Linked DNA regions of Saccharomyces cerevisiae S288C. Changing the gene in region 1 together with any one later gene gives a genetic interaction. Each region holds a gene or a part of one and is shown in the gene's direction. Other genes may lie near its edges.

Region 1 (4,206 bases):
TTCGACTTGCTTTTATACCGATTTTGAAAAGTCGCGGGGAAAAGCTGGCAATTATTTTTCATTTTTTTTCATTAGGGCTAGAAGTTGCTAAGAGCAAACAAACTGTTACTTGAAAGGTTTTCCCACGTTGGTAGCTACATATGCAAGAGTCTTATGTATCGTATCTAAGTGCCACGTAGGGGATTCCCATCATTTGATGATTTCCAAATATAATACCTGTAGAGAGCGGTGGAGCAAAAGTCAAATTTTAATCGCAACTGCAGACAAGTCAAGCTGAGGAAATTGTGGATGATCTCTTGTTTCTTTTGATATTCACCACAACAGAAGTGAAGAGTGTGATTGCGGTTACTACTGACCACGAAGCAATGCGTTTAGTAGTGAAAAGAATTACTCATACTCTGGAATCGAAATTCCGTTGGAAAAATTCGCTTTGTAGTGAAAAATAAAGATGTCAATAAAGGGTATTGAGAATTTCCAATGGAATTATCAGCAATAGATGATAGAAAGTAGCACAGAATTTGGCTTAATGGTATATAAACCGTAGGGTCCTGGTAAAATTACATGGGAAGGATCCTTAGGCAGTAGGGAAAACTTATCAGGACAATTGAGTTATATTAACGTATTATATATTTTAATATGGGAAAGAACGTTTTGTTGCTAGGATCTGGTTTTGTTGCACAACCTGTTATCGACACATTGGCTGCTAATGATGACATCAATGTCACTGTCGCATGTAGAACATTAGCCAATGCGCAAGCATTGGCCAAGCCCTCTGGATCCAAGGCTATTTCATTGGATGTTACCGATGACAGTGCCTTAGACAAAGTTCTGGCTGATAACGATGTTGTCATCTCTTTGATTCCATACACCTTCCATCCAAATGTGGTAAAGAGCGCCATCAGAACAAAGACCGATGTCGTCACTTCCTCTTACATCTCACCTGCCTTAAGAGAATTGGAACCAGAAATCGTAAAGGCAGGTATTACAGTTATGAACGAAATTGGGTTGGATCCAGGTATCGACCACTTGTATGCGGTCAAGACTATTGATGAAGTTCACAGAGCTGGTGGTAAGCTAAAGTCATTCTTGTCATACTGTGGTGGTTTACCAGCTCCTGAAGACTCTGATAATCCATTAGGATACAAATTTTCATGGTCCTCCAGAGGTGTGCTACTGGCTTTAAGAAACTCTGCTAAATACTGGAAAGACGGAAAGATTGAAACTGTTTCTTCCGAAGACTTAATGGCCACTGCTAAGCCTTACTTCATCTACCCAGGTTATGCATTCGTTTGCTACCCAAATAGAGACTCTACCCTTTTCAAGGATCTTTATCATATTCCAGAAGCCGAAACGGTCATTAGAGGTACTTTGAGATATCAAGGTTTCCCAGAATTTGTTAAGGCTTTAGTTGACATGGGTATGTTGAAGGATGATGCTAACGAAATCTTCAGCAAGCCAATTGCCTGGAACGAAGCACTAAAACAATATTTAGGTGCCAAGTCTACTTCTAAAGAAGATTTGATTGCTTCCATTGACTCAAAGGCTACTTGGAAAGATGATGAAGATAGAGAAAGAATCCTTTCCGGGTTTGCTTGGTTAGGCTTGTTCTCTGACGCAAAGATCACACCAAGAGGTAATGCTTTAGACACTCTATGTGCACGTTTAGAAGAACTAATGCAATATGAAGACAATGAAAGAGATATGGTTGTACTACAACACAAATTCGGTATTGAATGGGCTGATGGAACTACCGAAACAAGAACATCCACTTTAGTTGACTATGGTAAGGTTGGTGGTTACAGTTCTATGGCCGCTACTGTTGGTTATCCAGTTGCCATTGCAACGAAATTCGTCTTAGATGGTACAATCAAGGGACCAGGCTTACTAGCGCCATACTCACCAGAGATTAATGATCCAATCATGAAAGAACTAAAGGACAAGTACGGCATCTATCTAAAGGAAAAGACAGTGGCTTAAATAAGAAGAAATGTATCAAAAGGTTTATCATACGTAACAGTAACGGCACTTTATAAATCTTTCTTTAGTATTACTTATACTTTCATAAGGAAACGTAAAAAAAAAAAAACCGGAAAGAGGGACAAAATGGACTAGAACGTAATTGAGAGTGTAGTTCCTGAAGCTTGAACCGCTAGTAAGTCGTCTACCTTTAGTCTAAAAAGTATTGGCTATTGCATTTTATAGTCTTGCTTCTGATCAGAACGTATTAAATGAGCTCGTAAAGACTCTTAGGAGTTTTTCACTTTTAGAGATTAATACTATTAGGAAAGGTGCAAAAAAATAAAACGCCAACTAACTATTAGACGCTAGGCCCTAATACCAACTACCAGTATAACTAAGATTTCACGCATATGATGAGTCAAGTATCGCATTCCCAAGAAGGATCCGGGCGATTTTGGAACAAGTTTAAGTCGTCAACCAAATCGTTATCTACATCGTTGGCACATTTATCCATTAAAGCAGAAAAAGATGGTGATACTGTAAATACTACATTGGTCCATAAAGGGCTTGTGAAATTCTATGAAAATCAGCATCCTTTCCAGGGGTTCCCAGGATGGTTGGGGGAGAAGGAAGATTTACCGAACGAACGTAAAATATTAGATACTCAAGTGAAGCATGATATGAAGAAGCAAAACTCGCGTCATTTCTCGCCATCCTTTTCTAACAGAAGGAAGGCTTCTTCAGAAGATCCTATGGGTACACCTTCTTCAAACGGGAACACACCGGAGTACACGCCTGCGAGTAAATCGTTTCAAGATATATACAATAATCATACAAGCTCCTCTAGCGCGACACCGAGAAGAGCTTCATCACGGCCGACTAGACCTTCAGCAGGCCAAGAATTCAGGGCAAGTCTCGGTCGAAGTAAAACGTCGAACAGTTTCAACACCTCCAGCACGCCAACGCCGCCACCAGACGCAAGTAGTGGAGTAATGGCAATGAAGGACAGACTAAAGAGACGCAATAACGATTATGGATTTTAAATAGCACTATACCTTGCTGAAATAAAGCGAAAAGAACATTTAATGAATATATAGGTATCGTATATGTACTGAATAAAGTGTTTGATACAGAATGCAAGGAGATAATATAGTATGGTATATAACCTCGTCCTTATTTTGAATATACATGAAATTACAACGCTTCCCTAGAGACCGAATCAAACGCAGGGATTTTATAGTAAATGATAATCAATCATAAAATTTCTCTCAATGGAATACTAACGACACTACTCTCATCGAATGGGGTATCGCTGTTCTCAAAATTTAGGTAGCTATGATCATGCATAGGTCTTGGTTTGAAGATGACTTTTATCAGGAATAGTATGGCGAAAAGAGTTGCAATCCCGGCAACAATCAAATAAACAATCCCTAATGCCTCGTTTCCAGCACCGATAATACTGTTTGTGGTTAATACAAAAGATTTTGTTCCATAGAAAGATCTTACTGGGTAGTTGAGTTCTATATCAGCAATGTAAATACCCTTACCTAACCCATTGGTCTCATTTTTCATTGCTAGCTTATAGAAGTTGGGCAATGCAGCAGTTCTCATCCATATTTTGAACTGTTCCCAGTTTTGTAGGTCTGGAATGTTATCGTCAGTGTAGCCATTGGGAAATAACTTGGCCCAATTTGGGGGCGGTACGATATCGGATGCATTGTATTCGGTCTTTCCATATCTGTGGCTGTCGGTGTCCCACGCAATACCTTTTGTGGTAAGCAAATAATCTGCAGTATCGTTTACACCAGTAAGTGTTGTGCCGAATGTATCATTGAACATCGAATTTGCTATCAATCCACAGGGGAATATGGTCTTATTTTCTACCGTCCTTAAAGGGTCACAGTTTGGATCCAGATCATTTCCGATCAATGCTTTTCCTTTTAATTGGTCTAGGTCAAGAGATTGCACATATTCTCTATAGTTTTGATTGAAATTTGTTAGGCGGTAATAAACATAAGTAGATTTCTTGATATGATTTGGAACTTCGAACTGTATTCGACAAGTTTGATTGCCTAATTCAGGATCCGTAAGTACCATCCATTGAGGTTGGACTGCGACTTTCTTACTGAAGTGGTAGTCCACGTACTCGGAGGGAATCGTTTCAAAATGCTTCGCCGGTGCCAATGCATCACATTCTGTGTAGTTTACCACTAGTCTTTGGACACTTATCGTGCTGACCACCAGCCC
Region 2 (5,216 bases), on another chromosome or scaffold:
TCCATCCAGTCCAACTCTTTCTGCATTTCCCTATATTCTTCAGAATCTCTCCAAATGGCAAAATAATCTTGACTAGCGTGAGTTCCTGGTGCAGCACCTACTATTTCTAACATCCATTCGGCTGGATTGGCATCTGGTGGGCATTTATGGGCACCATGAGCTTCGAAATAGTTAATCATTGTTTTGCAACCTTTCCCTAGCTCTCCAAAATATACAGTTTGTCCGCCCTCTTGCAAAAATAGTAACCTATCAAACTCTTGCATTAAGAGAGCAGAAGGTTGATGAATGGTACATAAAATTGCTTGTCCGCGACTAGCCAATTTCTTCATTAATTGACAAGTTGACCATGCAGTTTGGGAATCAAGCCCAGACGTGGGCTCATCTAAAAATACCAACAGTTTTGGTTTGGCAGCTAACTCCACACCTATGGTTAACCTTTTTCTTTGTTCCACATTTAAACCTTCACCAGGAACGCCTACTATGGCATCAGCATAAAGTTTCATCTCCAATACCTCAATGACTTCTTCAACGTATTTATCTTTCTCCTCGATGGATACATCATCGGCTTGACGCAGGTACGCGGAAAACCTTAATGACTCTCTCACAGTTGCGGTTTTCAAATGCAAATCCTGCTGCTGACAATAACCAATTGATCTGGGGAAAGACTGGTCCCGCGGTCTACCATCTACGAATACATCACCAGTGATTAAACCCATCGTGGTTCTCTCGGCAAGACAATCTAATAACGTTGTTTTTCCTGCACCAGATGCGCCAATCAAGGCAGTTAGTGTACCAGGCTTGACCCAACCATCAACATTATCCAAAATTCTCCTCTTCCCATTCTTAATCGGGATATCGTAGCATAAGTTTTTCCAATGAAAAATCGCTTGTGATTTGGACAATTCAATGTCATCACTTTTACTAAAACTATTGCTTTGAGACGCAGAAGATGAAGGAGATGAATAATGCTCCTTGGCGACAGTTTTATCGTTACCCATTATAGCTGCATCAGAATCGCGTAAAAATCTTGAATCAGTCGCACTTGAATTGTTGTTCATCTCTACATCTTTCTCAGCATCAGATGTTGACAACGTTGGTTGGTTTTTCTTTTTCTTCTCAGAGACAATACCCTTCTTCTTCATCTTTTTAACCACACTATGGGGAAATACTAACATCTCACCATTTTGCTTTGCTCCTTCATTGTATTCACAAAAGAATAAATACAGAAATAAGAAAAAAATAATGTATGCTAAACCAATACCAACAGACCGCCATTTGTTCTTATGTCGATAGCCGTAGTTCGTTTGAATGAAATCATCACCACTTACATAATTATTTCCTGGGATAGAACCGAGGGCGGAGCAGGTGACTTCGTCACCTGTTGCGTTGACATAATTTGGCCCACTAGGTATATACTGAGCACATGGGAAATTTCTACCATGAAATTCGTTAATCATTAGCGATTCAAAAAGGTAAGACAATGGGTTGATATAAGAAATCCATTTTGACCAGCCAAGCATTTGGACTCTTGGGATGGCAAACCCAGTGTACATTGCAAAAGCTAACAGAAGAACAGATGCGGGAACCATTGCCTGAGGTAAAGTTTTCGACACTGAGCCAATGCATCTGAACAAATGCGACATAGCAAAAACTGTTATAATGTTTATTAAAAAGTAAAAGAAAAAAGCACCGGCATCTCTTTTTAGATTGATTAAAAAATAATATGGTATGTTGAAAGTTACTGCCGTGGCTAATTTTGTTGGAACATCAGAAAATGTAGAGGCGAAGGCATCAGCACTTGGGCGATATAACGAGTAAGTCTTGTGCTTTTCGGTAATGGGCCTCGTCTCATAGAGTGAAAAGATCTCTAAAAGTGATGAGAACGCATTGAACAGAATAGCAAAAAAAATAGCCGCGCCTCGGTAATAAAAGGTTGTTGTGGTAGTGGAAAGCATGACTTCATAAAACATTGATCCCAAGATAAGAGCCATTGCTGCATGACTCAAAACCGTGAAAAGTTGAATACTTGGGTCATTCTTAATCCTCCATATATCCCTGATTAGAATATACTTAACTTGCAAAAAGAAACTTACTGTATAAGGAGAGGAGGGCCGTGCTCTCTTAGATTGTTTGGCAATATGTGCATTTTTTATTTGTTCTCTTTGCTGGGAAGAGTCTGTATCTAAATGTTTGTTCACCTGCACCTGTAATTGTTTGTATTCCTCTGATTGAATCCAGTACTGGTTCATTTCATAGGCCGTTTGTGGGATCATAATTCCATGTTTGACCATGTCTTTGTCCTTAATTCTTTCAGAAGGACTAGTAATAGAGGTCAAATAATCTGCTGTGGTCTGCCTTTCGGGACACACATATCCCATTCTTTGAAAGTACTTTTTGGCCTGCTTACTTGGGCCAAAGAAGATTTGGTAACCATCGTAAAGAACACAGACTTTATCGAACAAATCATAGGCATCTTTAGAACATTGGTAAATGGCCACAGTGGCTGCAGACTTTGTGATAGTGGCTTGCGTTTTCAAGGCCTTGATGAACTCCAGCGCGGTAGCAGAATCTAAGCCCCTCGTGGCATTATCCCAGCACTGAAACTTCGAGCCACATATAGACACTTCAGCAATGGAAACTCTTTTCCTTTCTCCCCCGGATACACCACGAACAAAATCATTACCCACTTTTGTATCTGCAGTGTGGCTCAGTCCGTAAGTTGCCATTGCCACTTCAGTCATGTGTTTGGCAAATGTGTCCCTATCGACACCCTTGATTCGGTTCCTTGGTGTCTTCAGTCTTGCCACTGTGTATAAAGTTTGGAATACTGTCAAGTGCGGGATGTGAATGTCTGATTCTGCATTGTAGACCACTTCACCACGGTAATGGTTTTTGATCTCTTTGTTGGAGAATCCATTGTACGTGATGATTGTGTCCGGAGAAATCTTGAATCCGTGTGTATTTACAGATATAGATTTCAGCAGCGTAGTACATCCTGCACCGGGTCGTCCAAGCACAACAAGTAGTTCCCCCGGATTGATGCATCCGTCCATCGGCTTCAAAATTTGGAAACCGGAGTCATTATCTTCACTCTTGCCATGTGTCCGGTGGAAAAGACGTCGGGATATGCACCTCCAACTCATTTTCAAGTATTTGATGGGCATATTACCAAATGTTCCCTGATATGTTATATCGGCAGAATCACCGGAGGCACTCAAATCTTTCCAGGCGCAACCTAATGAAAACGGTTTATAGAAATCCGAATCATTCTCGCATATTTGTGCCATATTTCGTACCCATCTGACACTCGAGAAATTTTCTGATCGAGGATCCAATGTCTCATCGTAGTCTGGATCATTGACGTCCAAAAGGATTGGGTTAACTCCCTTGATATCACTAGCGAAAATTGACCGGCTCAATGACGATGAAGAAGCAGCAGTTAGTGTATTCGGGTCGCCAGTGCCGGTAATACGCTTTTCTTGCGATAAAAGGGAAGATTGGCTCGTCAGCGTTCTTGCCAATTCTTTTATTTCTTCTTGAGCTGCCGCGTCGAGGCCTTCGTACGGCTGTGTTTCGTTAGGTGGGCCGTCCGGCGCAGCATTTCCTTGATTCAAACCCGAGTTTGAACTTGAGGGCGCTTGCAACATCCTAACAACTATGTAAGACCAGAAATTATTGTTTGATTTTTCTACTATACCGGAAACGTTTACTAAGTATAGAAATATAATAACGCTAGATATCTTCTATGGTTCTGTCACGGGGAGAGATAAGAAAGTAAGATGCTTGCCCAACCGTCCTTCCTTATATACTTACATAAGGCGCACTATGTGGGGAAAACCTATCAAATTATTGGTACTGATGACAGCAGGTGTATTATTAATACGAACAAAATAAAAATATGCCGACCAATTCTGTAGTAGTACTGTACTATATTGAATATTAAGGGTTTTTCTGGTCTTAGCGTATCCCTTTATCAGTCCGTGGAACAAAGCCACGGGCGGCTGTAACAATGACCATGGAATCATTCAGTCGCCCTAAAAGCGCATTCCACGGAGCGTTTATAGTGATCTTGGTCACATGATATACGCGTGACTTTTTTTTTATTTTTTCTCCCTGTCTTCCGCAAAAGTGGCTCAAAATTCTTCGGATTTTGGCATTATAGCGCGAATGGTGCAGCGCAACCAAACAAACACCAGTTGTCGCACCCAAAAGATGCAAAAGCGGGGAGCCAGTTAGTTTTCCTTCAAGTTTTGGTTGAAACAGCCTTTAATATTTTATAGAAAGGTAAACTATCTGCTCAGTGAATAGTATCTGTAAGTCAGGCATACATTCGAAACACTTCCAAATACAAAATAAGAACGCGCAACGATGTCGTCATCAGTGCCATACGATCCATATGTGCCTCCAGAGGAGAGTAACTCAGGCGCAAACCCAAATTCCCAAAACAAGACTGCTGCTTTGAGACAAGAGATTGATGACACGGTGGGAATAATGAGAGATAATATCAACAAGGTTGCTGAACGTGGTGAAAGGCTAACATCCATTGAGGACAAAGCTGATAACTTGGCTATCTCCGCACAAGGATTCAAGAGAGGCGCCAACAGGGTCAGAAAGCAAATGTGGTGGAAAGATCTAAAAATGAGAATGTGTTTATTCTTAGTTGTTATTATTTTACTAGTGGTAATTATCGTTCCTATCGTCGTCCATTTCAGCTAACGCTCATCGGTTCCCGATGCTAATTCTAAAAAATATATACAGTAGTCATAATAGTAATAATAATATAATCATAATTTATAAATTCAGTAAGAAGCAAAATGTAGTTTAATATAGTGTACACTAATACGGCGCGCGGTTAATATCTTCCATAATATCGATTTCATTATCATACTATTGACAAATACTTCTATTATTAATTAACTATGTAGTTTCATTTTTTTTTTTCTCTTTTTTTGTCATTTCTTTTTTTAGCATTCATGTACAATTTTGTTTCTCGCGCCATCAGTTTTAGTGGCCGTCTTGAACGACTTGTTGGGCAACAAGGTCAACTATTCTCTTAGTTGAGGGCAAGGATAACCACGCTGGTATATAGGCTTCTACTTGGTCAAATTTTCTTGTCTTTATCAAACTGAATGGGTCAGTAAATGGACCTGTTTCTGGAGTGATAAATATACTGCTGCTATGCTCGTGACCCTTAGAATCATTACCTGATGAAGATA
Region 3 (5,453 bases), on another chromosome or scaffold:
ATCAAAAGAGGCGCCGGGTCTGTAAGAAGTACTTCAGAGATTCAACAGAGGGATGTTAAGTTAGTTTTATACTTAACTGCACTAAATGATGTCTTAAGGCAATGTCATGAATCTCTATTGGAGTATAGCGATGAGTTGATAACATTCATGAAATATTTATACGACAACGTCACTAACCCGCCATTGGATGTTATCACATCTATTGTTATTCACAGTGCTTTAGCAACTCTATGTACAACCGAAATAACTGATTGTCGTCTATTCCCAGAGGACTCTAAGATTCCGGAAAAAGACAGATGGGGAGGACTACAGTTCGATCCTCGAAGATTTGATAAACAGCATTTGAGTTTTCAGTGGCACGTACCTTCTAGTGACGAGATAACTTTATCCATAAGCATTCTAGAAAGCCTTTCCGAATACTGTATTAACAACGTAGAAGAACTGATGAAAGCTCCAAGACATGATTCCGAATATGGCGATATGATACAAAAATATGTTTTAGTTATGACACATACGCTTTCCGGGTCAAGTTTACTTTTTGATCCAGATTTTAACAAATATAGGACGCAATCAAACTTATCATACAGAGAGAAACTGATTTTATTAAAGAATATACGCGAAAATAATTGTGACCCTCAAGAACTGGATATTGATATTGAACAAATTCGTTCTGGCAAGGATGATGAAGACTATATTGAGAGTAAGGACATTGAAGCAGGGCTGAATGCAGGAGTTTCCGATGTTGTGCAGTTAAGAGATGAGTTTCCGGATGAATTAATTGTTGATGAAGAAGTAGTGTCTGAGATGCCATCTGGTGTAAATACCCCTATCGCGGGGACGCATGGCACGGACAATTCAGCTATGAGTTCGGATCTAGCTTTCAGGGATTTAGATATTTACACCTGTAATTATTACTTCGGAAATACCACTGAGGAGAAGTTACAAAACCCACAATATTTACAAGTCCACAGAGTTAGAGCGCGCATTGGACATTTCTTTCACAAACTCTATGTTTTTTTATCTACAAACTTCGAAAACAACACCAACATGTTCCAAATTCTATTGCACGGATTGAAAGTTTGGTTCACAGATCTGGGACAAGAAACGGTCTTCAATGAAGACCCAAATGCCTTCATTGACGTTGATTTCCTAGAAAACGTTCAATCTCTCTCACACGTAAATGAGCCCTTCACGAGAACCAATTTTGCAATCAGAGCAAACAGTTTGCACCAGAGTAGAGTTCTATTACATTCAACAAATAGAAAAGCTTCCAAGCTGGAAAACCTATTGTTAGTTGACATCATACAGTTAGCGACATCCCTTTATCCTGATATTTATAAACCAGCACAGGGAACTTTGGTACACTGTATGAAACAATTAGTTGGGTCATATGGCGTAGTCATCAATAAAATTATTCCATCATTAGAGAAAGCGATTAAGGATCATGATTATATGAAAATCCAAGTTATTTTAAATGTTTTGTTAATTAAGAAAATCCATAGGAAGCTTATGACGGATTATAAAGACATCGGCAGATTGATATTTCTGCTTATTGAATGTTGTCGTGTGAATGAATTAGAGATTGGTATGTATGCAGATAAAATCTTAACTGACATAGTGATTGGGATCAAGATTCCTTCTAGTGTATGTGTCATTTCCGATCAAGCTTTCTTACCTTTAGCACCTCCTGATGGTACTATTAATTTGCAAGTTGAAGCGGTAAAGCTTGCCAAAAAGAAAAAGCGTGAGTACTACCTCTCTCTGTTAGTGGATTTGCAGGACAAACTTTTAGACAAATTAGATAATGAAAAAGATATGGGGTGGAAGATAAGAATGTTCATTTTACGTTTTGTTACACAAATCCAATCGAACCTCGAAAGCAAACCCGATAAAAGAGCAGTATTTTCAATAATCTCCCAAATCTCCACAAAACATCCCGAAATCATACATTTGGTTGTAAAGTCATTGTTGTCGACGTGCAACAAGATAATATCTCTCTCTGACTATGAATATGACATCACCAGGGCCTATAAGAATGAATTCAATCCATCATTTGTGGAAATACTGGACACTTCGACCACAAGCTTCCCTAAAACGTTTACTGAAGAAATGAATAACTTTGATAACCCCAAGTATTTTATCGATTTGAGGGCGTATGTAGGGTGGCTATGTTGGGGAAGGCTTATGTACGTCATGTCGCCGAAAGCTTTAAAGCTCAATTTACGTGAGAATGAACTGGAAGTCCTCAAGACAGCTGGTCATCTATTGACAAGAGAATTCCTGAGAGATGTTACAATGAATTTAGTCCAAGATAATGAAACTAGGGGTGTTTTTAGTAGTGGTAACGTGTCATTTTTCTCTTTAGTAATCCTTTTGATATCATCTGGTTTCTGCGAACTGAATATGTCGGATCTCTTTGAGCTATGTGAATCCTACTATAACAAAGACGATAAGGCTTCGATGATCATGTCTGTCGAGATAGTGGCTGGCTTAGTTTGCGGGAGTAAGTTTATGTCAGTCTCTGACTTGGACAAACGTGACACTTTTATCGAAAACTTCCTAGCCAAATGTTTAGATTATGAGTTGAACCATGACGCATTTGAAATTTGGAGCACCTTGGCATGGTGGTTGCCTGCAGTCGTTGATTTAAGAAGGTCTAAAACTTTTTTTTGCCATTTTATCAACGCCGATGGCATGTTTGACCGTGAATCTGATGCAGCCACACATCAAACCTCCAAAATTTACATGCTAAGAAGTATCTTGATGAGCATGGAATTTAGAGCCCCAGATGTTGGTAAGCTATTTGATGAGTTGGTATTTGATCACCCATACGATCAGGTTCGCCAGGCTGTCGCTAAACTATTGACGACCTTAGTTCAAAATCAAAGTAATCCGTCAATTTCAGATCCAACCACATTATTAGAAGCAGAACGGAATGATCCAGATGGATTAGGGTTACCATTAAAAAGCGTCCCAGAAAAGGTGGATGCCTATATTAAGAAGCAGTTTGAGATCATTAAAAATCTGGAAGATTCCGTTGTCGGCCTGAATCCTCAACAATTTATTAAGACAGACTATTTTTACAGGACATCCACAATATTTTATTGGATCAAAGAAATGGCGAGAGGGCCTAATAAAGTTTTGTTAGTTCCATATTTAGTCGATTATGTTTTACCATTTCTGATCGGATTAGTGAAACATAAAGATGTTTGTGCTCTTGCCAGTTTAGATCCTGTTCGATTGTATGCCGGCTTGGGCTATATGCCGATCAGAAAGAACCATGTTGCCGCCATTGTTGACTATGTTTGTTCGTCAAATGTAGCACTATCTTCAAACCAAACGAAACTACAGCTAGCTTTCATCCAACACTTTTTATCAGCGGAACTGCTTCAACTTACTGAGGAAGAAAAGAACAAAATTTTGGAATTTGTTGTCAGCAATTTGTATAACGAACAGTTTGTAGAGGTGAGAGTTCGTGCGGCATCCATTTTGTCTGATATCGTCCATAACTGGAAAGAGGAACAGCCGTTGTTGAGTTTAATCGAGAGATTTGCAAAGGGTCTCGACGTCAACAAATACACGTCGAAAGAAAGACAAAAGTTATCCAAAACGGATATCAAGATTCATGGTAACGTTTTGGGTTTGGGAGCTATTATATCAGCGTTCCCCTATGTTTTTCCCCTACCGCCATGGATACCCAAGCAACTAAGCAACTTATCCTCGTGGGCCAGGACTAGTGGTATGACTGGACAAGCTGCCAAAAATACTATTAGTGAGTTCAAGAAGGTGAGGGCCGACACTTGGAAGTTCGATAGAGCATCTTTCAATACGGAGGAACTGGAAGACCTGGAGGGTGTCCTATGGAGAAGTTACTATGCCTGATTCATATTAGTATAGGATATTAAGCACATATCTAGACATATATGTACATCTAAACAAATAGCTGGAGCTATCTGCTGATTAGTTTTACTCTAAAAGTAAGTTGTTAGTGTAACTATGATCACGGCTGCGTGCCGGGTAATAAATCAATTTTGAGGAAAACTGGAAGTTCACCACTGAGAATGATCAACGGCAGGGAAACGTTATACCAAACAAAGCATTCTACCTCTAGGGAAGCTGGAAACTTGAATTACCCACTATAGCTTGTCTTTTAGTGATCCATTATTCCAACCTATTGCAATTCCAAGAAAATAAACTAGGAACTTTTTTTTTTGGAAGAATAAGAAAAGGAGAAAAAGTAGACATACTGTATATACACGAGGGCGTATCGTTCACCAGAAAGAATATAAACATAACAAGATAAACATGTCAGGCTTGAGAACTGTTTCTGCTTCATCCGGTAATGGAAAGAGCTATGACTCTATTATGAAAATTTTATTGATTGGTGATTCTGGTGTTGGGAAATCATGTTTATTGGTTCGTTTTGTTGAAGACAAATTTAACCCGTCATTTATCACCACCATTGGTATTGATTTCAAAATAAAGACTGTCGATATCAACGGTAAGAAGGTAAAGCTGCAACTTTGGGATACCGCTGGTCAAGAACGTTTCCGGACAATCACCACAGCGTATTATCGTGGTGCTATGGGTATCATTCTTGTATATGATGTGACAGACGAGAGAACATTTACTAATATCAAGCAATGGTTTAAAACCGTTAATGAGCATGCGAACGATGAAGCACAGCTACTGTTGGTTGGTAACAAGAGCGATATGGAGACGAGAGTGGTAACAGCTGATCAAGGTGAAGCCTTGGCTAAGGAGCTGGGTATACCATTCATCGAGTCCAGTGCTAAGAACGATGACAATGTCAACGAGATTTTTTTCACCTTGGCGAAGTTAATCCAAGAAAAAATCGACAGTAACAAGCTTGTTGGCGTCGGTAACGGTAAAGAGGGCAATATTAGCATCAATAGTGGGAGCGGAAACAGTTCTAAATCAAATTGCTGTTGAAGAAAAGAAGATTTTTGCTTCTTTGAGAATTAATCGTGAACTGGAATTAGAGCTATAAATCGCTTGATTCTTTTTTCCCTTTTTCTCAATATTCGCAGGTTATTTTTCCTTTATATATATACATTGTTTGTATCTTTTTTTGATTACCATACTTACTATTTTTATATTAGTCATATTAGATGTCACTTTTATATTATCTAAACAATTCAAACTTCTCACACTAACTTTTTCAGCATACTTCTACTGTTGTTCTCTGCTCTGGAAGGTATTTTCATCAGGCGATTGGTAAAAAATCAAGAAAGAATCTAAAAAATAGTGCAACAGGAAAACGAGGTTCCCAGTTTCCCTGGGAATTCTTATCCAAGTATATATTTTACTTTTAAGATTCAGCACTTTTATTTCGTTCTAATGTTTTTACCGGTAGTAAAGTTTTGCTTCTTGAATCCACTATTCAACTACTTGCGCTTATGTAAGGTTCCTGTATGGTTGCATAATCACTC

What was found.
Region 2: mutations in MSO1 (region 1) and SNC2 together harm fitness more than expected from each alone (negative genetic interaction), as found in Saccharomyces cerevisiae (3 studies listed by BioGRID).
Region 3: mutations in MSO1 (region 1) and SEC4 together harm fitness more than expected from each alone (negative genetic interaction), as found in Saccharomyces cerevisiae (5 studies listed by BioGRID, with this or other methods).

The regions. Positions count from the first base shown.
Region 1 is NC_001146.8:711,819-716,024, reverse strand, and holds MSO1 (Mso1p), read left to right. Parts: upstream 1-2,369; coding exon 2,370-3,002; downstream 3,003-4,206. Other genes in the region: LYS9 (saccharopine dehydrogenase (NADP+, L-glutamate-forming)), read left to right, coding at 637-1,977; YNR048W (putative aminophospholipid translocase regulatory protein), read right to left, coding at 3,214-4,206. UniProt on the Saccharomyces cerevisiae protein: Involved in secretion. Component of the secretory vesicle docking complex.
Region 2 is NC_001147.6:930,234-935,449, reverse strand, and holds SNC2 (SNAP receptor SNC2), read left to right. Parts: upstream 1-4,368; coding exon 4,369-4,716; downstream 4,717-5,216. Other genes in the region: ATP-binding cassette multidrug transporter PDR10, read right to left, coding at 1-3,647; MYO2 (myosin 2), read right to left, coding at 5,005-5,216. UniProt on the Saccharomyces cerevisiae protein: SNC1 and SNC2 are vesicle-targeting proteins essential for normal secretory traffic between the Golgi and the plasma membrane. They may also be involved in vesicle fusion.
Region 3 is NC_001138.5:126,029-131,481, forward strand, and holds SEC4 (Rab family GTPase SEC4), read left to right. Parts: upstream 1-4,305; coding exon 4,306-4,953; downstream 4,954-5,453. Other genes in the region: proteasome activator BLM10, read left to right, coding at 1-3,882. UniProt on the Saccharomyces cerevisiae protein: Involved in exocytosis. Maybe by regulating the binding and fusion of secretory vesicles with the cell surface. The GTP-bound form of SEC4 may interact with an effector, thereby stimulating its activity and leading to exocytotic fusion.